Linked DNA regions of Xenopus tropicalis. The protein of the gene in region 2 interacts with the protein of the main gene of each other region in a pairwise test. Links are inferred from orthologs where the notes say so. Each region holds a gene or a part of one and is shown on either strand. Other genes may lie near its edges. The genes, in order: ccdc146, trim54 and rabgef1.

Region 1 (7,704 bases), on a different chromosome or scaffold from region 2:
AAAACACATTTCCGATGATCTTAGGAATAATTTTATGGTTGGGGGTCACCGCAATATGAGGAACTGTATTAAAGGGTTGCGGCATTAGGAAGGTTGAGAACCACTGTGCTAGAGTAAACTGGACCCTAGTAACCAGAGCTACTGGAACTGCAAACTGCTGAACAAAATCCTAAATACAGCTGAGTTGCACTTTAATCTTTAATCCTGTCTACTTTTCATATGTCTGTTTGGTTCATAACTGGTGAGGTAGAGCCCTGTCAAAGAGGGTATTGGTTATTTCATTTTTTTCCTTCCTGGTGCTAATAAAATCTGAACAAGAAGTTAAAAAAAAACATAAAAAAGTAATTAAAAATAGAGAATAGATTGTCTCCCTTTATTAAAGGAGAAGGAAAGGTAAAAACTAAGTAAGCTTTATCAGAAAGGTCTATGTAAATACAGCCATAAGCACTCACAGAAAAGCTGCTCTCTCTATCAAAAGAAACACAGGATTTCTTGTCTCCTTTTTTATAAATATGTTCTTCCCAGTCAGACTTCCTGCTCTCAGAAAAATATTTTAGGGCACGGCATGAGTCTGCTCAGTTTGCTTCTCACTCTCTCCCCCTCACAACTGTGCTATGTAATCTGAGCTACCAGCAGCCAGATCTGCAGCACAGAAGCTACAGAGACCAAGCTAAAATGGCAGCTGCTATCTTAAAGGAGAAGGAAAGGCTAATAAAGAGTTAATGTCAGTCCTCTCAATAGTGCCCTTAAGTCTCCCCATATTTCTCCTGTTCAGATGATCAGAAGCCTCATAGGAAAAAAAATCCAGAGCTGTGTAAAGAAAGTTCCCATAATGCCTCACTCCTGCACCAAGACCCCTGTACATGCGCAGTTAGTAAGACTATGAGGAAGCTTCCTGCTGTATGGCGCAGATCACTAATTTCTAAGGGGGGGGGGGAGCTGGAGAGAGTAGAGAGCTACACAGACGCTGGCACAATGGCTGGCACAAAATGGTTACCTTCTCCTTTAAAGATCACAAAAATTGTGGGTGTTTTTTGTTTTACCATGTTTTTAATTGTTTAAAGACCACTTTAAATGCCCTGAAATCACCATCTATTGTCATTAGAATTTGACACCATATGTGATTGTCACAAGACTTACATTCAAAAGTGGGCACATCTTCAGATCCACAGATTCATGCAATCATCATGTGACAACCAACAATATTTTACACAGGACCCTGAGGGTCATAAAAAGCAATTTAAAAGCAGTTTAAAAGAGAAAAATTAGTTGGCCAAAACACACTGTTCCTGTAATTGCCATTAGAGCGGCAGATAACCTTCACAAAACGTATTGGTTTCAGCTTGTGCACCACAAATAATAACTTTCTACAGTTGTTTTCCATTTCCTGTTAAACTTTTTTTTTTTAAATTTAGTAGCAGCTCAATAAGTTCTTATCACTGAGTCACTAACTGTTGAAGTGTTATACTTTTAAAGGAGAAGGAAAGGCAAAGTCACTTGGTTTTCTTGGAATGTAAAACAATACAATAATTCTCATAAAACAATACACCATCTTCAGGGACATGGCCAAAAATGGTGCAGAGCCAGGAGATACTCCTGACCCACCATGCTAAGTCCCTATGTCTCACCAACTCCAATGCGAGCAAAATATGTAAACTCTCTACTACTTATTCTCTTCTTTTTCACCCCCCCCCCCATTCACTCTCTTCTCCCCTCTCTCTTATACATTGTTTTGTTTGTTTGAAAAAAGGAAAATAAAAGCAATTTATATTAAACAAAATGGTGCAAAGCAGTAGCACTGTCAAGCAAAGGAAGTGGGCAAGGGCATTGTGCCTTTACAGCTCCAATTTAAAAGACACTATCTCATTGTATAAGGGCACAACAGGTGCTATGCTGGTATTAATAAAGGAAGATTGTTGCTGCAGATCATTGATAAGTTGTATATTAGCTTATATTTCAATAGGCTTTATTATTGGCTTCCTTATGTGCCTCATATTGGAACCAGTTTCACTGGGTTTGAAAGGAGCTAAAATTCCATAAGGTCGGGGAAGTGGAAGAGCACTTTCGTCATCAGGAATGTAGGCATTGGGGCGTTGCTCAGCTGTAGTGTATGCCCCATTAGGCAACCAATGCTGTTCCTCCTCCTCAGCCATCTACAAGAGAGAATATTTACAGCCATTAGATACTGAGTCTGTGATCCTTTTATTATGAAATGCCAACATACAAAATGTCTATAGTGACATGAGAGGTTAAATGTAAGATATCTTATGTAGGCTGAGGCAGATGCATGCATTTGTAGGAATAAAGTGAAAAATAGATGTTGAGAAAGCATATAAAGACATTTTAGAATGCTGTATTTTGTATGTAATTTCCTATTCAAGTATATGATGTAAAAAAAAAAATAAACTCAGAAGTAACATTTTACTAAGGCTTTGGATTGTGTTCACCTTTCCGCTAGATAGTCTATGCGTTTAGCTGTCTACACACAACCATGCAATAAATGGCAGACATACATATTAAGGGCTTCTTTGTAGATTGAATGCAAGGTCATTCAAATTTGCAACAGATGTTAGAAGTTGCAGATCTTGTTTATGGACACAGAATATTCATCTCTATGGAATTATAGAGTTATGTAATGATTTTCTGATATGTGCAGCATTATCAGTTCCTATCAGGGTGCCTCCCCAGGCGCTGTTTGATTTGCACATTTACTTACTTTAGTGTACTGGCACATGAGGAAAATTGCAAAGTGTGGGCAAAGAAGGCAGAAAAGTGTATAGATTTCGCACAACAGAAAAATCCAACTATCTACTGCAAAATTTCTGATTGTGATTTTTTTTTTCAGCATTTTATTTAAAAGTTTTATAACAACCATTATTATTCACGTGTACAGAGTACAGATTATAATAAGTATAAAGCATAAATTACAAAAGTGAAGGAAAGGAAGACTAAAAGAATGAGAGAATAGGTTATGGGGGGGGGGAGATTGGAGGTGGGTTGGGTAGAGTGGCTCTCCTGTTTGTGATTTTTTTAGCCTTGCAAACTAGGACCAGCATTTTTGGCTCATGTCTGAGTCTATGCACATTTACTCATGGAATCTAGCTTCCAAATCAGACAAAAGTTAGTGATGGGAAATCCAATTCACACTGAAAGCTAATTCTAGAGGCTTATATCACCATTACAAAGTGACAGTGCCAAACTGTAGTAATGTAATTGCCAATAACAACCAATAAGCAATTCATTTTGTTTAGACTGCTAAATCAATTGTCTGATTGTTTGTGTTGGTAAATAAAGTGGTACAATTTAGCACTTGTGCTACTAAATGAGTCTTAATGATGCTTAATTCCAATGTAGGTGGGTTTAGAATATGGACAGCATTAGAATTTTCCCACCAAGTTTTGTAATATAAAGTTAAACCAACTGGGATTACTGTATATAGTTACTTACTCTGGCTTTGTCTTCCTTCTCCTTTTGGAGTCTATGCTTATCTCTTATCATTTTTTTCCATTCATTCTCTGTCCCTTCACTAGGCGGAAGTCCTTGTTCCATCCTGGTATGACAAGCCTCCACCATTTTTTCCTTGTTCCTTAATTCTTCCTGAAGCTTTATAGAATTTGCTTGTTGCATTGATAACTCTGCAATCAGAGACATCATCTTCTGCGTTGTGTTCTTTATCTTCTTGTGGAGTTCATTCATCTGCCAATATAGGCAGTTTATAAACAAAAAGCAATATGACCAAGAAAAAAATAAGTTTTACTGCCTCTTTCCATGTTAAGGAGCTCATTTATCCCACTGGCTTAAAATAAAAGTTTATACATATAGGAAGATCTAGGAAATAGAGCATCAGAACAGAGAACAAACAGTAGATCAGTGGCTCAGGAGGTGCACTTGTTCTATTTAGAACAGGAGGTAGGTTGGGTGCACCAAGTGCATTTGTGATAGTTAAGTGCAGGTAGTGTGTTTTCACGCAAGTACTTTTAATGCATACATTTTTGCGCAACTACAGCTGTGTTTGTAAGTGACCCCTGTGTTTGTTGTACCCCCTAAACATTGCAGATCTCTGTATAAATATATTGCGAAAAACTTCTCACGTGGAACGCTGCTTTATCTAAATAAACCATTTTCATAAAAATATACTTTTCTAGCAGTACAGTATGTGCCATAGGATCCTAAATAGAAAACGGACAAAAAAAGATGTAAGAGCAATATTTATCGATATAGAATTTTACCAAACTGTAATAATAAGATATATACTGGGGGATAGTTTTCCTTTAAGGCTATCCCACTTGTAATAGGTTTAGGTAGTTTATAGATCTTAACAGTTTCTGAACTATTTAAAATAATGTCCAATGCCTAATCCCTGCATGTGTCCATATATTAATAAAGTTTTTACACTATTATGTTTTCTCTTGTTTATATTTTGTCAGTGCTGAGATCTATGATGTATATAGTCCTGTGCTGGTTGGTTTTTTTTCAGTTTACCTGACATGGTGATTTCAAGTGACATGCAGCAGTACTGAACAAAGTGGCATGGACCTTTCTTTGCATTTAATTTAGCAGCAATTATATCTTGTGTCCCAAACATATGGAGAGTGTGGTTTGATGACAATCCCACACATTATAAAACAAGCCTCTACGCAGAAGCGCCCCAGTTACCAGGGGCGGCAAAAAGCCGCTCCTGGTAACTTTAAGAGCCGAATTTCTGGTTTTTAAACCGGAAATTCGGCTCTTCTAGTGCAGAGAGCGCAATTGCAGGAGCCGCCTCAGGCGGCAATATGTCTAGAATCGCCCCTGCCTCTACTGGAACATCTTGCCATAATAATTTGTGAAAACTAGTGTTTAAATTAGAAAACATTTGCTCTAGAAGAGCCCGGGGTGGCCTGGAGGCATATTTGGGCAGTCTATTTCTCTCTCTCTCTCAGGTTTCTCTGAGTCACATGACAGAAATGACATCATCAAGCACCAATTATAACTGGTGACATCACCAAGCACAATTTATAAGGATATAACTTACAGGATATTTATGGCTACTGTGTATTACAGGATGAATACTGGGTGTGTTTGAACTTTATTCATTACTTTTTTTTTTCTTTATGTGGCCACAAGATTTACTGGCAAGGATTTCTTTAACTTTTTTTTCTTTTTAAATAAATACCCACTTATCATGGTGACGCTATTTTCTCAGACAAAGACTGTAATCCAAAAATGTTTTGAAAAAATGACCAGTCTGTTTCATTCAATCATTATCTATTTTGTTTCTAAACAATTACCTTTTTAGACAGCAGTAGTGTGTCCTGCTTTCCATTTTCTGCCTTTGTGTGTATTTTCTTTGTCAAGTGGGAAACTTGTTCATAGAGTAAATCTTTCTCCAATAATTGCTCTTCTTTCTGCGCAAGGTGCAACTCTAGCTGTGAACACAAGGTAGTGGTAGGTAATCAGCCATATACACAGTAAATCATTGTACTTTTATAGTTTATAGCATTTCCCACAAACTTCCTTATTGTTTTATTTATTTCTAACCGCATCATTATGATTATGTGTCAGTGAACTAATATGTTTTGCCAACCAGACTGACCAATGGCCAGCAGCAATTATACAGGATTATGGGTCCACATGTGGTCAGGTTTAGTCTACGTCTATGTCATTTACTTTGATTCTGAATAATAACATGTGAATTATCTTTCCAAATATAGCTAGCTGTGAGATACCAAGCCATGCAAGGATTTAATCAAGTTACTGGTAAATGCAGAGATGTCAATAAACCCCATGTTATTAGGGATATGAGCCACTTTGGGCATTTTGAAACCTTGTATTATATTACCATTTACAGTGAAGAGCAATTAAATTAAAAAATAAACAGAACTGAAACATTGTCACCCTAATAATTTTGAGTTATGTGGCATCTTTGTTCATTCTTACTTCTGCTAAAGAAATATAAGTGAAGGCTCGTTTGTCTCTACAGGTATAATAGATCTGCATTGTTGGAAAAGTGTTTTCAAGTAACCTCATCCCAACAGTGTAGATACATTATTGAGAGCGCTATTATCACATTTTTTTCTTGAGCAGGAAAGCAGAATTAACAATTAATATGTATACATTATTTGTCTAAAATAAATGACATGATTGAAACTCTGGGATTTCATAGGTTCGAAGTGACACTTTGTCGTGGTGGGCATCTTACTTCCACACACAGAATAGAAAGATATTTCTGCAGTTTTTTTCATAATTCTGTAAATCACTTATTATTATTATTATTATTATGCACAAAATTGGTTCAGTGTGTTTTTTATGCTCTAGCAGGGACACATGCTGTAACTATTGGATCTTGGAACCTCGCATGAGAAAATTTAAGCACAATTTCTATCATGATCCATAAACAAATTATGACAAATAAATACAGATGGTGGGAATAATTGTGAACCCATATTCTGATGTTTAACACCAATGTGTAACTTGAATACATGTATTCTTCCTACCTCCTCTGTTTTTTTCATAAGTTCTTGCAGGGAAGGATCTTTTCCTTCTAGCAGGCGGGTTCTGTATTCTTTCCCTGGGTCTTCAGTTTGTGTTTCCAGCTCAGCAACTCTGTCATTGCACTGCGAGAGCTGTTAAATAGAGAAGTCCAAGCATTCCAATTTATTAAACAGCCAACAAGACTTTGCCCATCAAGTTGAAGGGTAAGAGAGAAGGGCCTAATTCTCAGTGTCCCTCAAAAGGAGGGGAAACCAGTTCATAGTTACATAGGGTTGAAAAAAGCCCAGTCCATCAAGTTCAACCCTTCCAAGTAAACCCAGCACACACAAACCTATACATACCTATCTACTCACATACACAAATTACATATAGTTCAAGAGGATATATGCCAAAATATACATGTGGCAGGGAGGAAGGCAGTATTAGGGCTCTGGCACACGGGGAGATTTGTCGCCCGGGACAAATCTCCCGTGTCTCGGGTGACTAATCTCCCCGGGTTGCCATCCCACCGGCGAAAATGTAAATCGCCGGTGGGATGGCATACGCGGCGGCGCGATTTCAGTGAGATCGCGCAAGTTTCAACTCGAGGCAACTTGCGCAATCTCACTGAAATCGCGCCGCCGCGTGTGCCATCCCACCGGCGACTTACACTTTCGCCGGTGGGATGGCAGGTGATGGCAACTTGGGGAGATTAGTCGCCTGAGACACGGGAGATTTGTCGCGGCGACTAATCTCCCCGTGTGCCAGAGCCCTTAGAAGCCAATGGCTCCCATGCGTCTTCAGGTTAAGACACATGGAGCTACTTAGTAGCAGCTACTTGTCACGGCTACTAAACTCCTGCCATAGACAATACTGAGAATTGCTTTTGCTAAAACACACATAGAGACAATCAGCATTGTCTATATTAGTAGCTGTGACAAGTAGCTGCTACTAGTAGCTCTGTGTGCCTTTACCCCCCACAGGTCTGTTAATCATCAAGCTTCTGCTACAATGTTCCAGCAGTACAAAGAATAGCAAGGCCAGGCCTGGATTTGTAGGAAGGGCAGGTAAAGCTTTAAGTGTTGATGACATTCAACACAGCCCAGATCAAAGAGAATAACAACATCTTAGAATCTATGATGCTGATGCAAATGTACCATTGTATCAGTTATGTCGATTCTATGTGCATGGCACTTGCTATTCTTTGTTAAAGGTGTAATGGACACAACACAGCTGCCACCTAAGGTACAT
Region 2 (8,753 bases):
AACCCAGTCCCTGCCAGTGCTTAATGTCTGCCCCCCCCCCCCCCACATAGTCAGCGCTGAATAGAGCCCAGTGCCTGTGGTTCTGCTATATCTGCCCCCCCCACAGCCAGCGCTGAATAGAGCCCCAGTCCCTGTGGTTCTGCTATATCTGCCCCCCCCCCCCCCCGCACGGTCAGCCCTGAATAGAGCCCAGTCCCTGTGGTTCTGCTATATCTGCCCCCCCCCCACACACAGTCAGCGCTGAATAGAGCCCAGTCCCTGTGGTTCTGCTATATCTGCCCCCCCCCCCGCACAGTCAGCGCTGAATAGAGCCCCAGTCACTGTGGTTTCTGCTTTATCTGCCCCCCCCCCCCAGCCAGCACTGAGTAGAGCCCAGTCCCTGTGGTTCTGATTTATCTGCCCTCACCCCCCCCCCCCCCAAACACAGTCAGCACTGAGTAGAGCCCAGTCCCTGTGGTTCTGCTTTATCTGTCCCCCCCCCCCCCCACAGTCAGCACTGAGTAGAGCCCAGTCCCTGTGGTTCTGCTTTATCTGCCCCCCCCCCACAGCCAGTGCTGAGTAGAGCCCAGTCCCTGTGGTTCTGCTTTATCTGCCCCCCCCCCACAGCCAGTGCTGAGTAGAGCCCAGTCCCTGTGGTTCTGCTTTATCTGCCCCCCCACAGCCAGCGCTGAGTAGAGCCCAGTCCCTGTGGTTCTGCTATATCTGCCCCCCCCCCCAGCCAGAACTGAGTAGAGCCCAGTCCCTGTGGTTCTGCTATATCTGCCCCCCCCCCCCACAGCCAGCACTGAGTAGAGCCCAGTCCCTGTGGTTCTGCTTTATCTGCCCCCCCCCCCCCCCCACAGCCAGCGCTGAGTAGAGCCCAGTCCCTGCGGTTCTGCTTTATCTGCCCCCCCCCCACAGCCAGCACTGAGTAGAGCCCAGTCACTGTGGTTCTGCTTTATCTGCCCCCCCTCCCCCCCCCACAGCCAGCACTGAGTAGAGCCCAGTCACTGTGGTTCTGCTTTATCTGCCCCCCCCCCACAGCCAGCGCTGAGTAGAGCCCAGTCCCTGCGGTTCTGCTTTATCTGCCCCCCCCCCCCACAGCCAGCACTGAGTAGAGCCCAGTCCCTGTGGTTCTGCTTTATCTGCCCCCCCCACAGCCAGCACTGAGTAGAGCCCAGTCCCTGTGGTTCTGCTTTATCTGCCCCCCCCCCCCCACAGCCAGCGCTGAGTAGAGCCCAGTCCCTGTGGTTCTGCTATATCGCCCCCCCCCCCCCCCCCCCACAGCCAGCGCTGAGTAGAGCCCAGTCCCTGTGGTTCTGCTTTATCTGCCCCCCCCCCCCCCACAGCCAGCACTGAGTAGAGCCCAGTCCCTGTGGTTCTGCTATATCGCCCCCCCCCCCCCCCCCCCCCACAGCCAGCGCTGAGTAGAGCCCAGTCCCTGTGGTTCTGCTTTATCTGCCCCCCCCCCCCCACAGCCAGCACTGAGTAGAGCCCAGTCCCTGTGGTTCTGCTATATCGGCCCCCCCCCCCCCCCCACAGCCAGCGCTGAGTAGAGCCCAGTCCCTGTGGTTCTGCTATATCGCCCCCCCCCCCCCCCCCCCCACAGCCAGCGCTGAGTAGAGCCCAGTCCCTGTGGTTCTGGCTATATCTGCCCCCCCCCCCCACAGTCAGCGCTGAGTAGGGCCCAGTCCCTGTGGTTCTGCTATATCTGCCCCCCCCCCCCCCCCACAGCCAGCGTTGAGTAGAGCCCAGTCCCTGACTGGAGCAGAGATGTGCCAGTCATGCCATGTGTCTCTGCCAGGGGGGTGCCCGGGCACAGTAACTACCCCCCCTCTCTCTCATCAGCACCTTTTGCCATTTCTCACCAGCACAGAGAGGTGCCAGTACGGAGCTGGTGCCCATGTCACATTGTATGATTGTATGTTAGTGATTGGGGGGGACGGGAGAAGCCCCCCCCTCCCCTGACTCACCAATAAAATCACTCTCCCACACCCCATGGATATTCTGTTTTGTTTGTGGGGGAGACGGAGATGGGGGGACAGGAGATATATATACATAGTGCTGGCCAATATGTGCCCCCCCTGGGGGGGAACCCAACTTAATGTTTTGGTGTTTCTCATTGGCTGGGCTCTCACAGTAGCACCTCCCCTTTAATATATAACCTGCCCTATGGGAACAGTACTATTTCAGAAAATATACAGTATGCACCGTAACAAAGTGAGTGTGGCCCCCCAACAGCGATATTGAGATGTAACAGCCCCTAGGCACCCCTACAGCCCTGGGTGAGTGTGTGGGTTCTGTATGGGGGTATTTCTGCCCAATCACTGCCCATACAGACTCCCCCCAGTTCCATGTGACTGCTGCAAATCAGCCCATAGATTTCCCATGATATTCAGGGGGGGTGCGACCCCCCGCATAAATGCCTTTGTAGCTTTCCCACTGTGTTTGGGCTCATTGTGGGAATATCCAACCCCTGGAACTGCAACTCTCTGCCTGACACTTAGACATGATCCTGAAGGGTTGGTATTGGGGTGAATTCATCCGACCCTCAACTTTAACAAGGACCCCGGTCCCTGAACCAGCCCCACAGCATGATGGGACCCCCACCCAATGTGACAGTCGGCAGTGGGGGTTTCTGGGAAAGCGCTTTTTGTTATGAGCAAATAACGCCATTTGTGTCTCATCAGCCCAAAGCACTTTGTTCCCAGATGCCTGCAGCTAAATGAGCTTTTGCCCCAACAAGCGACGGTATGTGGGGCGCGAGGGCAGAAAGGGCTCCTTTCCCACCCCCCGGCCATCCAGATGGTCTTTGTGCAAATGGCGCTGTAGCACCAGGTACAGATACACCGTCTGCAGCAAGAAGTTCCTGGGGGGTGAGGTGGGATCTTTGGCTTGTCTGGAACCAGTCTCACAATTCACCCCCAATATTCCGCTCTTGGATGTTCCTTGACAGGCCAGACCTGGGTTTTACAGCAACTGTTCCTGTGGCCTCCCATTTCCTGATTACGTTCCTTACAGTTGGAACTGACAGGTTAACCCTCTGGGATCTGAGCTGTTTGTAGCCTCCCCCTAAACCCTGTACTGAACAATCTTTGCTTTCAGATCTATTGAGAGTTGCTGTGAGGATCCCCTGCTGTCACTCAGGAGAGTCAAATAGAAGCACAACTTGCAATTGGTCACATTAAATACCTTTTGGACACACCTGCCTGTGAAGGTCAAGGCGTAACGAGCTAATCCAGCCAATTAGGTGCTGCCAGTAATCAGTACTGAGCAGTTACATTCAGCACAGTTACAAGGGGACCCACATTGTTGCACAGACAGTTTTCCCATTGGGTTTAATCCCATACAACTAATGCGGCTTCACTAAATCTCTTTGTTCAGAAACCCCCCCAGGCCCCCCCCACTTATCTTTAGTGTTTTATTGTGCTGCCTGAGAGGGGTTCCTATATATATTATAGGGGGTGGGGGGGTGCATGTGTGTATGTATATATATATATATATATGTATGTGGGGGGGGGGGTGCGTGCCTTTGTTACTGAGTCATTGTGTGAGTGTGACTCACTATCAGCTGCTCAGTGAGTGTGTGACAGCTGCACCCCAGACTTGCCCCCCCCCCCCCCCGCTCCTTATCCCTGAGCTAAATATACAGCAGGAATGCCCCCCTGCCCCCCTGCCCCCCTTCCACTCATGTCGCATTAACTCTGCCTGATAGTGGGGGGGCACAGCCTGGTGCGAGGGGCTCTGTTAGCTGCTCAGCCACTGGCACAGAAGGGTTAATCATTGGGGGGGGGCAGGAGGAAGTGACCGGAGCCTCAACACTTAGTCTCCCAGTTTGTGTATCATTTGGGGAGAGAGTTGTGAGAGCGCTCAGGGCAGGACACCCAGTACCAGTAAGTGGGGGGCACAGAACTTGGGGGGCAGCTGGGTTGGGGGGTCTGGGTGGTTGTTACAGGGTTTTTGGGTGGGAACAGTAATTTTCAGGGGTTTAGATGGGGGGGTTGCTTGGTATATTGTGGGGGGGGGGTCACAGGACTGGGGATGTTGTGTGAATTGAGGGGGGGGGCAGGGTTTTAATGTTTTTTATTTAAAACTATACAAGAGAAGATAAACTCAACTGAGACCGACAGGCCGGGCAACTTACCCTCTACTGCCCACACTCCCCAAGCGCCTGGCACAGTGGCATCAGCCTGAGGGCCCCTTGGCTGGGGAAGCTGCTAAGTGTTGGGGGTTAAGGTTGTGGGGCTGGGGGCAGTGCCCGTGGTTTGGAGAGGCAGGGGGTGAGGTTGCGGGACTGGGGGCAGTGCCCGTGGTTTGGAGAGGCAGGGGGTGAGGTTGTGGGACTGGGGGCAGTGCCCGTGGTTTGGAGAGGCAGGGGGTGAGGTTGCGGGACTGGGGGCAGTGCCCGTGGTTTGGAGAGGCAGGGGGTGAGGTTGTGGGACTGGGGGCAGTGCCCGCGGGTTAGAGAGGCAGGGGGTGAGGTTGCGGGACTGGGGGCAGTGCCCGTGGGTTGGAGAGGCAGGGGGTGAGGTTGTGGGACTGGGGGCAGTGCCCGCAGGTTAGAGAGGCAGGGGGTGAGGTTGTGGGACTGGAAGTAGTGCCCGCGGGTTAGAACGGCAGGGGGTGAGATTGTGGGACTGGGGGCAGTGCCCGCCGGTTAGAGAGGCAGGGGGTGAGGTTGCGGGACTGGGGGCAGTGCCCGCGGGTTAGAGAGGCAGGGGGTGAGGTTGCGGGATTGGGGGCAGTGCCCGCGGGTTGGAGAGGCAGGGGGTGAGGTTGTGGGACTGGGGGCAGTGCCCGCGGGTTAGAGAGGCAGGGGGTGAGGTTGCGGGACTGGGGGCAGTGCCCGCGGGTTAGAGAGGCAGGGGGTGAGGTTGCGGGACTGGGGGCAGTGCCCGCGGGTTAGAGAGGCAGGGGGTGAGGTTGCGGGATTGGGGGCAGTGCCCGCGGGTTGGAGAGGCAGGGGGTGAGGTTGTGGGACTGGGGGCAGTGCCCGCGGGTTAGAGAGGCAGGGGGTGAGGTTGCGGGACTGGGGGCAGTGCCCGCGGGTTAGAGAGGTAGGGGGTGAGGTTGCGGGATTGGGGGCAGTGCCCGCGGGTTGGAGAGGCAGGGGGTGAGGTTGTGGGACTGGGGGCAGTGCCCGCAGGTTAGAAAGGCAGGGGGTGAGGTTGCGGGACTGGGGGTGAGCATGATCAGGGTGGGGTGCTGGGGCCTCTGTGAGTGGGTGGGAGGGCACGTGGTACTGTTGGTGGGAGGATTTAGGGATGAGGGGCCCTTGGGGGGGCACATATATACCCCCAGTACATCTTGCTGCCTGTTTCTTCCTAGCATCCTGTGAGGGGATGAATTTTGCGGTGGGTTTCAAGCCTTTGGCCGGAGACACCCAGACCATGGACAACCTGGAGAAGCAGCTCATCTGCCCCATCTGCCTGGAGATGTTCACCAAACCCGTGGTGATCCTGCCCTGCCAGCACAACCTGTGCCGAAAGTGTGCCAATGATATCTTCCAGGTACCCCCTGGGGCTCTCTTGGTCTAACCCCCTGTGTGTGGCACTAACGCTATGGGACAGGGGCCATTCTTACTGTTGGGGGGGTATCTCAGGGAGGTGTCTCAGGAGGTACCGGGATCTCATTAATGACTGCCCCCCAGCAACCACAATTGAAAAAAACATAACCTCTTTATTTTATCTCAGAAAACTCTGACTGGTCGCCTCCTCTGATTGGCCAGTGAATACAGTTGGCCTCCATTGGCTGTTGGAATTCACAGACCCCCTCACTGTGGGAAATAGGCCCCGTGATACAATGCCGGATCTATTTATAAATAACCTTGTGCCAACTGCAACCAAAGTAGAATTATATAAATATAAACAGTCAGTTCCTGGCACCGGGGCATCCGTCATGCTTTGCCCTTCCCTGTAACTGAATTCCCTATAACTAGAACCTGCCTTTCCTTCATGGCACCTCTCCCCCACCTGTATTAGAGACAAGGAACAAGATGTAGGAGACTCCATAGGAGGAGGAACAACATAGAGAAGAGTCAGTAGGGGGAGGAACAAGATGTAGGAGACTCCATAGGAGGAGGAACAACATAGAGAAGAGTCAGTAGGGGGAGGAACAAGATGTAGGAGACTCCATAGGAGGAGGAACAACATAGAGAAGAGTCAGTAGGGGAGGAACAAGATGTAGGAGACTCCATAGGAGGAGGAACAACATAGAGAAGAGTCAGTAGGGGGAGGAACAAGATGTAGGAGACTCCATAGGAGGAGGAACAACATAGAGAAGAGTCAGTAGGGGGAGGAACAAGATGTAGGAGACTCCATAGGAGGAGGAACAACATAGAGAAGAGTCAGTAGGAGGAGGAACAAGATGTAGGAGACTCCATAGGAGGAGGAACAACATAGAGAAGAGTCAGTAGGGGGAGGAACAAGATGTAGGAGACTCCATAGGAGGAGGAACAACATAGAGAAGAGTCAGTAGGAGGAGGAACAAGATGTAGGAGACTCAGTAGGAGGAGGAACAACATAGAGAATAGTCAGTAGGGGGAGGAACAAGATGTAGGAGACTCAGTAGGAGGAAGAGCAACATAGAGAAGAGTCAGTAGGGGGAGGAACAAGATGTAGGAGACTCCGTAAGGAGGAGGAACAACATGGAGAAGAGTCAGTAGGGGGAGGAACAAGATGTAGGAGACTCCGTAAGGAGGAGGAACAACATGGAGAAGAGTCAGTAGGGGGAGGAACAAGATGTAGGAGACTCCGTAAGGAGGAGGAACAACATGGAAAGAGTCAGTAGGGGGAGGAACAAGATGTAGGAGACTCAGTAGGAGGAGGAACAACATAGAGAATAGTCAGTAGGGGGAGGAACAAGATGTAGGAGACTCCGTAAGGAGGAGGAACAACATAGAGAAGAGTCAGTAGGAGGAGGAACAAGATGTAGGAGACTCAGTAGGAGGAGGAACAACATAGAGAATAGTCAGTAGGGGGAGGAACAAGATGTAGGAGACTCCATAGGAGGAGGAACAACATAGAGAAGAGTCAGTAGGAGGAGGAACAAGATGTAGGAGACTCAGTAGGAGGAGGAACAACATAGAGAATAGTCAGTAGGGGGAGGAACAAGATGTAGGAGACTCAGTAGGAGGAAGAGCAACATAGAGAAGAGTCAGTAGGGGGAGGAACAAGATGTAGGAGACTCCGTAAGGAGGAGGAACAACATGGAGAAGAGTCAGTAGGGGGAGGAACAAGATGTAGGAGACTCCGTAAGGAGGAGGAACAACATGGAGAAGAGTCAGTAGGGGGAGGAACAAGATGTAGGAGACTCCGTAAGGAGGAGGAACAACATGGAAAGAGTCAGTAGGGGGAGGAACAAGATGTAGGAGACTCAGTAGGAGGAGGAACAACATAGAGAATAGTCAGTAGGGGGAGGAACAAGATGTAGGAGACTCCGTAAGGAGGAGGAACAACATGGAGAAGAGTCAGTAGGGGGAGGAACAAGATGTAGGAGACTCAGTAGGAGGAGGAACAACATAGAGAATAGTCAGTAGGGGGAGGAACAAGATGTAGGAGACTCCGTAAGGAGGAGGAACAACATAGAGAATAGTCAGTAGGGGGAGGAACAAGATGTAGGAGACTCCGTAAGGAGGAGGAACAAGATGGGGAAGAGTCAGTAGGAGGAGGAACAACATGGAGAAGAGTCAGTAGGGGGAGGAACAAGATGTAGGAGACTCCGTAAGGAGGAACAACATAGAGAAGAGTCAGTAGGGGGAGGAACAAGATGTAGGAGACGCAGTAGGAGGAGGAACAACATAGAGAATAGTCAGTAGGGGGAGGAACAAGATGTAGGAGACTCCGTAAGGAGGAGGAACAAGATGGGGAAGAGTCAGTAGGAGGAGGAACAACATGGAGAAGAGTCAGTAGGGGGAGGAACAAGATGTAGGAGACTCCGTAAGGAGGAACAACATAGAGAAGAGTCAGTAGGGGGAGGAACAAGATGTAGGAGACTCCGTAAGGAGGAACAACATAGAGAAGAGTCAGTAGGGGGAGGAACAAGATGTAGGAGACTCTGTAGGAGGAGGAACAACATAGAGAAGAGTCAGTAGGGGGAGGAACAAGATGTAGGAGACTCTGTAGGAGGAGGAACAAGATGGAGAAGAGTCAGTAGGGGGAGGAACAAGATGTAGGAGACTCTGTAGGAGGAGGAACAACATAGAGAAGAGTCAGTAGGGGGAGGAACAAGATGTAGGAGACTCTGTAGGAGGAGGAACAACATAGAGAAGAGTCAGTAGGGGGAGGAACAAGATGTAGGAGACTCTGTAGGAGGAGGAACAAGATGGAGAAGAGTCAGTAGGAGGAGGAACAACATGGAGAAGAGTCAGTAGGAGGAGGAACAACATGGAGAAGAGTCAGTAGGAGGAGGAACAATATGTAGGAGACTCAGTAGGAGTCATAGCCCCCATGATGGCATGGCCGTGCTGTCGAGGCCCCGCCTCATCTCCACCCCCATGACATCACCCCTGCCAGGCTTTCTGATCCGGCAGGGGTGACAACTCTACAACAAGGTAGGACTATTGTTGAAGCCCCTGTGTATTTGAGGGTAGAATTGGCACTGGGTGTTGGTTCTTGTCTGGAAGTGGTTTTAATGTATTAACCCAGGAGAAGGCCTCTGTATGTAGCATTGGTGGTAAAGTGCTGCATGTTATTCTGTATATAGGGGGGCAAAATCTAATTGGTGTCCTTCTGCCCCCAGGCCTCCAATCCTCTGTGGCAGTCACGAGGATCCAG
Region 3 (8,653 bases), on a different chromosome or scaffold from region 2:
GGTCCCCCTCTGGGGGTGGTACTATTTTAGTGAGCTCCATATTACCAATTGTTGTGCCTCCCAGGGATTCTTGGTAGCTGGTCTGGACTGCACATACAGTACATAGAGTATAATGAGAACTTAGATGCTAAAAGCTGAACTTTTTCTCTGCTGTGCATGCACACAGCCCAGGGTAGCCGCAATGATCCAGCAAGGAAACTAGATGGGTCTGGGTTGCCTAACCTGTGTTTGTATCAGATGACTATTGCTTGAAATCTGCATTTTCATTATGCAAAAACAAGTGTTATGGCAGAATAGGACAAAGTGCTCACCAGTTTGGCTTAAAGGTGAAGGAAAGGCTAAGTCACCTGGGGGTGCCAAAATGTTAGGCACCCCCTAGTGACTTTAATCGCTTACCTTGTACCCCGTGCTGGTGCCCCTGTTAGGAGAAAACAGCACCAGCCCGAGGTGACTGCAGCAAGCACTTCCTTCTGTCGTCAAAATCCCTGTGTAGTAGAGTGAAAAGCTGACATTTTTGTTAAAGTTCGGCTTTTCATTCTACTGTGCAAGTGTGCGAACAAGGAAGAAGAGCTACCCCGGGCTGGTGCGGTTTTCTCCTAACAGGGGCACCAACCCAGGGTAAAAGGTAAGCGATTAAAGTCACTGGGAGGTGCCTAACATTTTGGCACCCCCAAATGACTTAGCCTTTCCTTCTCCTTTAAATCTGACCTTTGTGCAGTCATTCCTTCTGTGTAATGATCAGTAGAATAGATTTACCAGCATCTCCAAAAACTTCTGATTGGAAATAGTCAAGGCAAATACATGGGAAGGAGTCATTTGGTTAAAATTGCCTAAATATGCTAGACCCACTGCTATATAAAATATAGCTTTAACCCATTTATCTCGGGGCTGTTGTTTAAACATGTATTATCGTAGTTGGAACTAGTCTTAGTTAAATGATGCTTCCCCATACACAAGTCTGGGGCCCCTAACAGCTCAGTTTTAGGGAATGCAGAATTTCATTAAGATTGTTATTATTCCAATAATGTTTATTTTATAATACTTAGAGATGCACTGAACCCAGTTTTGGTTTGGCCGAATACCGAACCGAATCCCATTTGGGATGGTTACATTTTACACTTCCTTGTTTATGCACCGCATTAACCCTTCCAAATCCTAATTAGCATATGCTAATTTGGATTCGGATTCCATTTGGACAGGACTGTGGATTTGGCTGAATCTGAACCCTGCCAAAAAAGGCTGAATGCTGGCCGAATACTGAACCGAATCCTGGATTCGGTGCATCCCTTATAATATTTATAACATCAATAATAATCACTATATTCTTACCTTTACCATCTCAATGGATCAGACAGTGTAGCATATTTTTGGTACATGATGGATTAGCCTGTAAAAGTAGTTCTTCCCAGTTGTTCACAAACAATCCTTTCAACTTACTACATTGATAGTCCTATTCAGTAAAAATGTTTCCTTGTAGTTAGAAACAGCGGGAGCTAATGTGGGATGGTCCAGGCATGAAGAAGGCTATAAAGGTTGTTACAGGTTTCCCTGGTGAGAAACAGGACTGTATCAATCAAATGGCATATGTCCAGGAGCTGCTGTGACCTTATGCACTTTTTTCACTGGATAACAAAATATGATTTCATTTTTGGTGGTTCTTAATTGGCTAATATATCCTGTATGTCCTTTTTTACTTATCCTAGGAATCAAATATTGACGAACAATCTGAATTTACCCAGGACTTTTATCAAAACACAGCAGAGAAGTTGCAGATGTATTGGAAGGGTAACATTCTTTTTGTTGTGATGATTTTAAAGATTGGAAGCATCTCATCCCAAACCTGGTCTACATTCCTAAATATTTGTGCATTTTTTTAGTAGCTTAAGATAATAAAGGGTGTACTATGTCATGGATTTTTTTTGTTTGTGGAATTGGGTCCTGTTAGAAAAGCTAGTTTTATTATGATTTAAGACAGACTTTAGATTTAGTACTTTAGGGAAGACAGTGATAGTGTATTCATTTCACGCATGAATAAAGTAGTGGTTGTTTAAAATATACTTAGTAAATCTAATTTTATTATGTGGTGGTCACGTCTAACTAAACTCTTGTTTATCAGAGTATCTAATGCATATTTTTTATGGTTAGCAATTCAGAATCTGACTCTGTTTTTCTAGAATTAGACATTTCGCTTTCTTTCAAAATGCCCAAATATCTGCTTTCTGTGAATGAAAATGTTATACAGAACAGAAGCTGATTCTATTTTCAGTGTCCCCTGATAAAGTTGAGAAAGTGACGGATCAAATTGAGCGGTTCATAATGACTCGTCTCTACAAGCACGTGTTTTGCCCAGAAACCACAGATGATGAGAAGAAGGACCTCACAGTCCAAAAGAGAATCCGGTATGGGGGGGCGCTGGTTCCTTTCACATTAGATCCTGCATTGTTAGTCTGTATTGGCATTAGATTATTAGATATTATAGCTAATCTTATAAATATCAAGGCTCCTCCCACCACAGCTATGGAACTAATCACCAACAAATAACTAGTTGATAGTATATTATATGTTAAACAGATGAGCAATGCAGAGAAAAGGGTAATCAGAGCATGAATAGAGGTCAAACAAGGTCACAACAAAAGGTAGATAAAATAAATATTTTTTTTAATAAAATGCTTTGAAAGGTATCTTACTAGCAAATCTTGTGTCCTTTAGGTATTTACCACATACCTAACTTTTTAATCTTTTCTCCACAGGGCTTTACACTGGGTAACTCCTCAGATGCTTTGTGTTCCTGTAAATGAAGATATCGCAGAGGTGTCTGACATGGTGGTAAAGGCTATAACAGGTCAGTGTTACTCATAGCATTCTGTATCTTTAAGGGTGAAGACACACTGAGCTACAAGTAGCAGCTACTTTTTCATGGCTACTAAACTCCAGAAAATAAATACCCTGCCATAGACAATACTGAGAATTGCTTCTGCTAAAGCACACGTAGAGACAATTATCAGTAAATGATTAGCATTGTCTATCTTAGTAGCCACGATAAGTAGTTACTAGTAGCTCTGTGTGTCTTCACCCTAACATAGTTTTAAGCAATGTGGTATCCCTACAGGGCCACTACCTAAAATCCACCAAGCTGCCTAGAGACCTTAACAAGACAGTATATTGGAGTGTACAGAATTATTAATGGAGTAGCTGAAGTCAAAAAGCTGGGAGGATCCTAACATTACATTTACCCTTTAAGCCAGAGTAACTGAACGTGACCATAATGTGACTTCCCTTCCCAATGCTCGTCAGTCTGCAGCATTTACCTGTGCATGCATATGTGATTGGTTGATTTTTTTCCTTTTTTTATTTATGGCATTTACATAGCAGTGCAGAAGAAAAGAGCAAACATGGCTGCTTTGTGGAGCAGTAGTTGATCCACTCCTAATAGTAATGCGACCAAACTTTGGATTTGATAAATAACATTTTATAAGTGCATAACATAAACACAATGGCAAGTGTAAAAACAGGTTTAGTGGGTATCCGGGTCACTTTAATGGAAAAATATGTCCCGTTTTTTTTTTTTAACCATTGAGTTTTATTAAGAAACAGATTACAGACATAGTTTCCAGTCAGAACATCAAAGGAGAGATCATATGTTACAAAGCATATATCAAACTTTTTGTGACATAACATGTGCTTTGGTGGATCTCGCTATAACAATACATACCCTGTAATTCTGAGTTCCACTGTTTTTGTGCTTTATAAATCTACAATTAACTACTACCTTAACACAACTATAAACTGTGCATTGCCAACGCTTGTTTCTAGACCAGAGTGATGGGATGGAAGGACCATTGTGTGGTAGAGATGGAGGGGAGGGGGGAGGGGATCAACACTCATTTTTTGTTTCTGATACTAGGTTGCTCTGTTATCGGGGTGGTATCAATTTCCTATATTGTGTTTGTCTAGCCACGAGGACCAAATTTTCTCAGATTTATTTGGGCATCCTCTTCTGACATATAGCAATCTATATGTGGGCATTGCTTGGTTGACTTGGCTTACCCAGAATTGTATGGATGGAGCTGAGTGGGCTTTCCATTTCATTGTGATAGACTTACGGGCATATGCTAACAGAATAGAAATGAGAGCTCTTTCCGCAGTTGTTGGGGCTAGATCAGTAGTTTGGTTTAGTAGCATTCCGGATGGTGTTACCGTGATGGGGGCGCTGGTTAGATCAGATATATAGTCTGCCACCTCTGTCCAGAAGCTCGCTATTTTGCTGCAAGTCCAGACCATGTGGATGAAATCTGCTGGGGATTGGTGGCAGCGGGGGCATTCGTCTACCTGGGATGGAGATATCTTTGCTAGTACTTTGGGTGTGATATATGCCCTGTGCAAGAATTTATACTGTATTAGCCTGTCTCTTGAGGCCACTATATAATCAAAGGGTTTCCTTCCATTGCTCTTTATTCATGTCTGGTATATATATTAGCCATTTGTTATAGAGTTTGTTTAATAAGGTATCATTAGCCAGTGCCAAAAGGGCATAGGAGCGGGAGAGGGCCTTGGCGTGTGGGCAGTTGTGTGCTTGTTTTTCTATTCGGGAGGGGGTAGTTTGTAGGGTTGTTCCTTGAAACTGTGAGTGTACTGCATGTCTCAGTTGTAAATATCGGAAGAGCATCCTATTTGGTAGGTTAAAATTATTTTTTAGGGCCTGGAAGTCTAGAAGTTTCCCTTCCTTAACTATATCCTGTATATACTTGACTTGGGAGCTGGCCCATAGCTGGGGGTCTGGTAAGGTTTGGAGGTGCTGTAGTTTGGGGTTGCACCAGAGCGGGGTGAGTTCAGAGCAGTGGTTTTGTGGTTTGGGAAAGAGGCTGAGGGCGGTATTCCAAGCCCATACTATTTCTTTCATGAGTGGGGTTGCTTTTGAGGTGTAGGAGCAGCCCCTATATAAGAGGTTCTTTAGCTCTTCGTATGAGCCCACTGTCTGGGCTTCAAGGCGTGTAGCCGGGTTGTCCAGGGTTGGTGCTGCCCACCAGTTTGCAGTGGTTAGTTTAGCGGCTATATAATATAGAAAAAGATTTGGGGCTGCTAAACCCCCCGCCTGGGTTGGAAGTTGAAGTTTGGCTATGCTGATTTTGGGTGTGGAGGGGTGCCAGTATAGTTGTATAAGGAGCGCCCTGATTTTGGTGAAAAAACTGTTGGGTATTTTTGTGGGTGATTGGCTAAATATGTATGTAAATTTTGGTAGCATTACCATTTTAAAGAGGTTATACACAGGGTATATTGTTACTTTATCTGGTCCTCACAGCTTTTTATAGGTATTGAACTTTATGGCCTTTTAATGTGTTAAATAATTACTTAATTTCTCCACTAGATGGCAAGCTAGAACAACTGGTAATCTGTTTTCTTCATTGGTGCTGCCTTGACTTCATTTAGTGCAATGAAGGAAATGTGTTAAAGGAACAGTAACACCAAAAAGTATAAAAGTAACTCAAATATAATGTGCTGCTGCCCTGCACTGGTAAAAGTTGTGTGTTTACTTCAGAAAGTCTACTATAATTTATATAAATAAGCTGCTATGTAGCCATGGAGGCAGCCATTCAAAGGAGAAAAGGCACAGGTTACATAGCAGATATTCTGCTATGTAACCTGTGCCTTTTCTCCTTTTTTCCAGCTTGAATGGCTGCCCCCATGGCTACACAGCAGCTTATTATATAAATTATAGTAGTGTTACTGTAGCAAACACACCAGTTTTACCAGTGCAGGGCAACAGTGCATTATATTTTTATTACTTTAAAGCTCTTTCATTTTTTGGTGTTACTGTTCCTTTAAGTTGGCCATACACAGGCTGATTCTAGCTGTTGATATCGGTCCCTCAGACCGATTCAGGAGCTTATCAGCCTGGGTATGGGTATTAACGCAAGGCCTGCCCGACCGACATCTGGCCTAAAATCGGGCAGGTTTAAAAATTTAGTCTGATCTGGACTGCATTGGCTCGTTGATGCGGTCCCCGAACAGACGGACGCCCATACCTGGCATTCTAATTTGATCATTTGCCCCCAGAGCCAAACAACCTAATTAGCCCGATATTGCCCGCTCGTAGGTGGGGATATCGGGAGAAGATCCGTTTGCTTGTCGACCGCGCCAAGCGAGCGGATCTTAGCATGTATGGCCACCTTTACTTAACTTGCCTTCAAATCTGACTTTTAAGCCCATTCGTCATCCTTATCTTAGTCAGTTATCATATATATCATATATATCATATAAAGCTCTGTTGTAAAACATGAGTATCCTATAAATAAAAGATTGTAATATCAACCCTTATTGCACTCCAAAGGGATAAATATAAATTAAGCAAAAGGCTTGTGGGGTTTTTTTCATTACTGTTCTGCTTATGGTGCCGCTACCCACCTTGGAAGCTCCAGGGGTCAACAAGTGTCTGCAGTTAGCACTTGGAAACACACACTGGTGATATTTTAGTGCTTTTCCAGGTAATGTGTGAACAAAGCTGCTTGCTTTTCATGTGAATGTGCAGTTAGAGATTGGAACAGATTATATGCTCATAACCCTTCTGTTGTTCACCTTTAAATAAACTTTTGATGTAGACTGTGATATTCTGAGACACTTTGCAATTGGTCAGAAGGTTTTATCTGTGTTTTTGTAATTAGTTAGCTTTTTGTTCAGAAGCTCACCAGTTTGGAATTTCAGCATCTATCTGGTTGCTGGGGCCCAAGTTACCCTAGCAACCCTAGGCAGTGATTTGAATGACTGGAATATGAATATGAGAGATCCTGAATAGAAAGAAAAGTAATATAAAACTAACAACAATAAAACTGTAGCCTCACAGAGGGCTGCCAGTGTTAGTGACATTTGAAAGCTTAACAGAGTCATAAGAAAAAGGCAAATAATTAAAAAACTCGAAAAAAGACCAATAAAAAAATTCTCTATTCTATAGTAAAAGTTTACTTAAAGGTGAACAACCCCTTTAAACTGAAAAGGTTTATAGTATCTCCTTCTGTAGAACTGAGTACGACTGTCTAATTGTGTCAGTATTTACTGTCATTAAACAGTCATTCTCTTATGCTAATTAAGTATAACTCACAAAAAGCTGTAGATACATGGGTTTTTATGGAAAAAAAATCTTTTATGAGAGTCTAAATTTCACACATTGGTATAAGGCAATAAGAACTCCTGTCACTTAAAAAAAAAAAAAAAAAAAAAAAAAGAATTTTGACAAATATTCTTTTCTTTTTAAATTCTCTTCTCTGCAGATATTATTGAGATGGACTCAAAACGTATCCCCCGTGACAAACTTGCTTGTATCACACGCTGCAGCAAACACATCTTTAACGCTATCAAGATCACAAAAAATGAGCCAGCCTCAGCTGATGACTTCCTGCCCACTCTCATCTACATTGTTCTCAAGGCAAATCCACCTCGCCTGCAGTCCAATATTCAGTACATCACTAGATTCTGCAACCCCAGCAGACTGATGACTGGGGAGGATGGCTATTATTTCACTAACCTGGTGTGTGTGCAAAACAGCTCAAATTTTTCACTACATCAATTTAATGTATAGATGCTTCTCTCTTGCACAGAGCCAGTCCAGTTAAAGGAGATGGAAGGGTAGAATCACTGGGGGGTGCCACAATGTTAGGCACCCCTCCTCCCCACCTTTCCTTCTCCTTTAAAGGCATACTGTTGTCATAATTAAAGGCAAAAAGATACCCTCTTTTATTTATTTTTGTACACAGACATAAATGATTTCTCAGAATCAGAGAGGAACCATGTCTGCAGCTGCTTATTGTACTTAAAGTCCCTTAGTTATACATAGGATCAGTGTGCCACCCACCATGGAAAGCAGAGGGAAGGAGTTTGTTTTTTGTTTTTTTTTCTGTTTGCTAATGCTTTAAAATAATATACACAGCAGGAAATCTGGATACTTAGACAGGACTATACCAGTTATGTCAGAATCAAAGGCTTATTAACTGCACTGCTGCAAGGAGAGGTCTGAGTATAGTTTATTGGTGAGAATGAGAGATATGAGAAAATAGTGTCTGGATATAAATATCACATTCAAATTTAATTTTATTCAACTCAACATTTTGAGGTAGCATATGCTTCCTCTATTCAACTTGAATCCAGAGAATTAGATTTTAAAATTGCCAATTTTTTTATTCTAAATTCAGCAAGTGTAACAATAAAAAAATGTTTTAACATGCTACAAATAAAAGGTAATCTTTTTTATGAACAGATTGCAACTACATGGTTCCAATTGAAATGCCCCCTTTCTTCTGTTTCTGTAGTGCTGCGCTGTGGCCTTCATCGAGAAACTAGATGCACAGTCACTGAATTTAAGCGAAGAAGAGTTCAGCAGGTACATGTCTGGGCAGGCTTCTCCAAAAAAGCAAGACCTAGAGAACTGGCCCGCAGACACATGCCCTGGTGTAAAACAGATGCACAGAAACCTTGACCTACTTACCCAGCTGTCCAAGAGACAAGAGCATATTGTAAATGGGGCTAAGAAACTAGAGAAAGACCTTATTGACTGGACGGATGACGTCACCAAGGAAGTCAAGGACATTGTAGAAAAATACCCACTGAACATTAAAACAGCCAGCCAGGCCCTCGCAGCACTTGAGTCAGAAAATATAGAAGATGA

Evidence for each region.
Region 1: the proteins of trim54 (region 2) and ccdc146 interact in binary tests that used the Homo sapiens proteins (3 or more experiments, as listed by UniProt). The two-hybrid records come from large-scale screens. The link is inferred for Xenopus tropicalis from reciprocal best matches to the Homo sapiens genes TRIM54 and CCDC146.
Region 3: the proteins of trim54 (region 2) and rabgef1 interact in binary tests that used the Homo sapiens proteins (3 or more experiments, as listed by UniProt). The two-hybrid records come from large-scale screens. The link is inferred for Xenopus tropicalis from reciprocal best matches to the Homo sapiens genes TRIM54 and RABGEF1.

What each region holds. Positions count from the first base shown.
Region 1 is NC_030679.2:78,142,831-78,150,534, reverse strand, and holds the end of ccdc146 (coiled-coil domain-containing protein 146), read right to left. Parts: intron 6,606-7,704; coding exon 6,477-6,605; intron 5,409-6,476; coding exon 5,271-5,408; intron 3,697-5,270; coding exon 3,448-3,696; intron 2,154-3,447; coding exon 1,950-2,153; 3' UTR 871-1,949; downstream 1-870. UniProt on the Homo sapiens protein: Essential for sperm flagellum biogenesis and male fertility.
Region 2 is NC_030681.2:162,396,309-162,405,061, reverse strand, and holds the start of trim54 (tripartite motif-containing protein 54), read left to right. Parts: upstream 1-3,711; 5' UTR 3,712-3,872; intron 3,873-5,307; 5' UTR 5,308-5,321; coding exon 5,322-5,489; intron 5,490-8,718; coding exon 8,719-8,753. UniProt on the Homo sapiens protein: May bind and stabilize microtubules during myotubes formation.
Region 3 is NC_030678.2:48,710,042-48,718,694, reverse strand, and holds part of rabgef1 (rab5 GDP/GTP exchange factor), read left to right. Parts: intron 1-1,703; coding exon 1,704-1,785; intron 1,786-2,266; coding exon 2,267-2,399; intron 2,400-2,750; coding exon 2,751-2,842; intron 2,843-7,262; coding exon 7,263-7,519; intron 7,520-8,297; coding exon 8,298-8,653. UniProt on the Homo sapiens protein: Rab effector protein acting as linker between gamma-adaptin, RAB4A or RAB5A. Involved in endocytic membrane fusion and membrane trafficking of recycling endosomes. Stimulates nucleotide exchange on RAB5A. Can act as a ubiquitin ligase.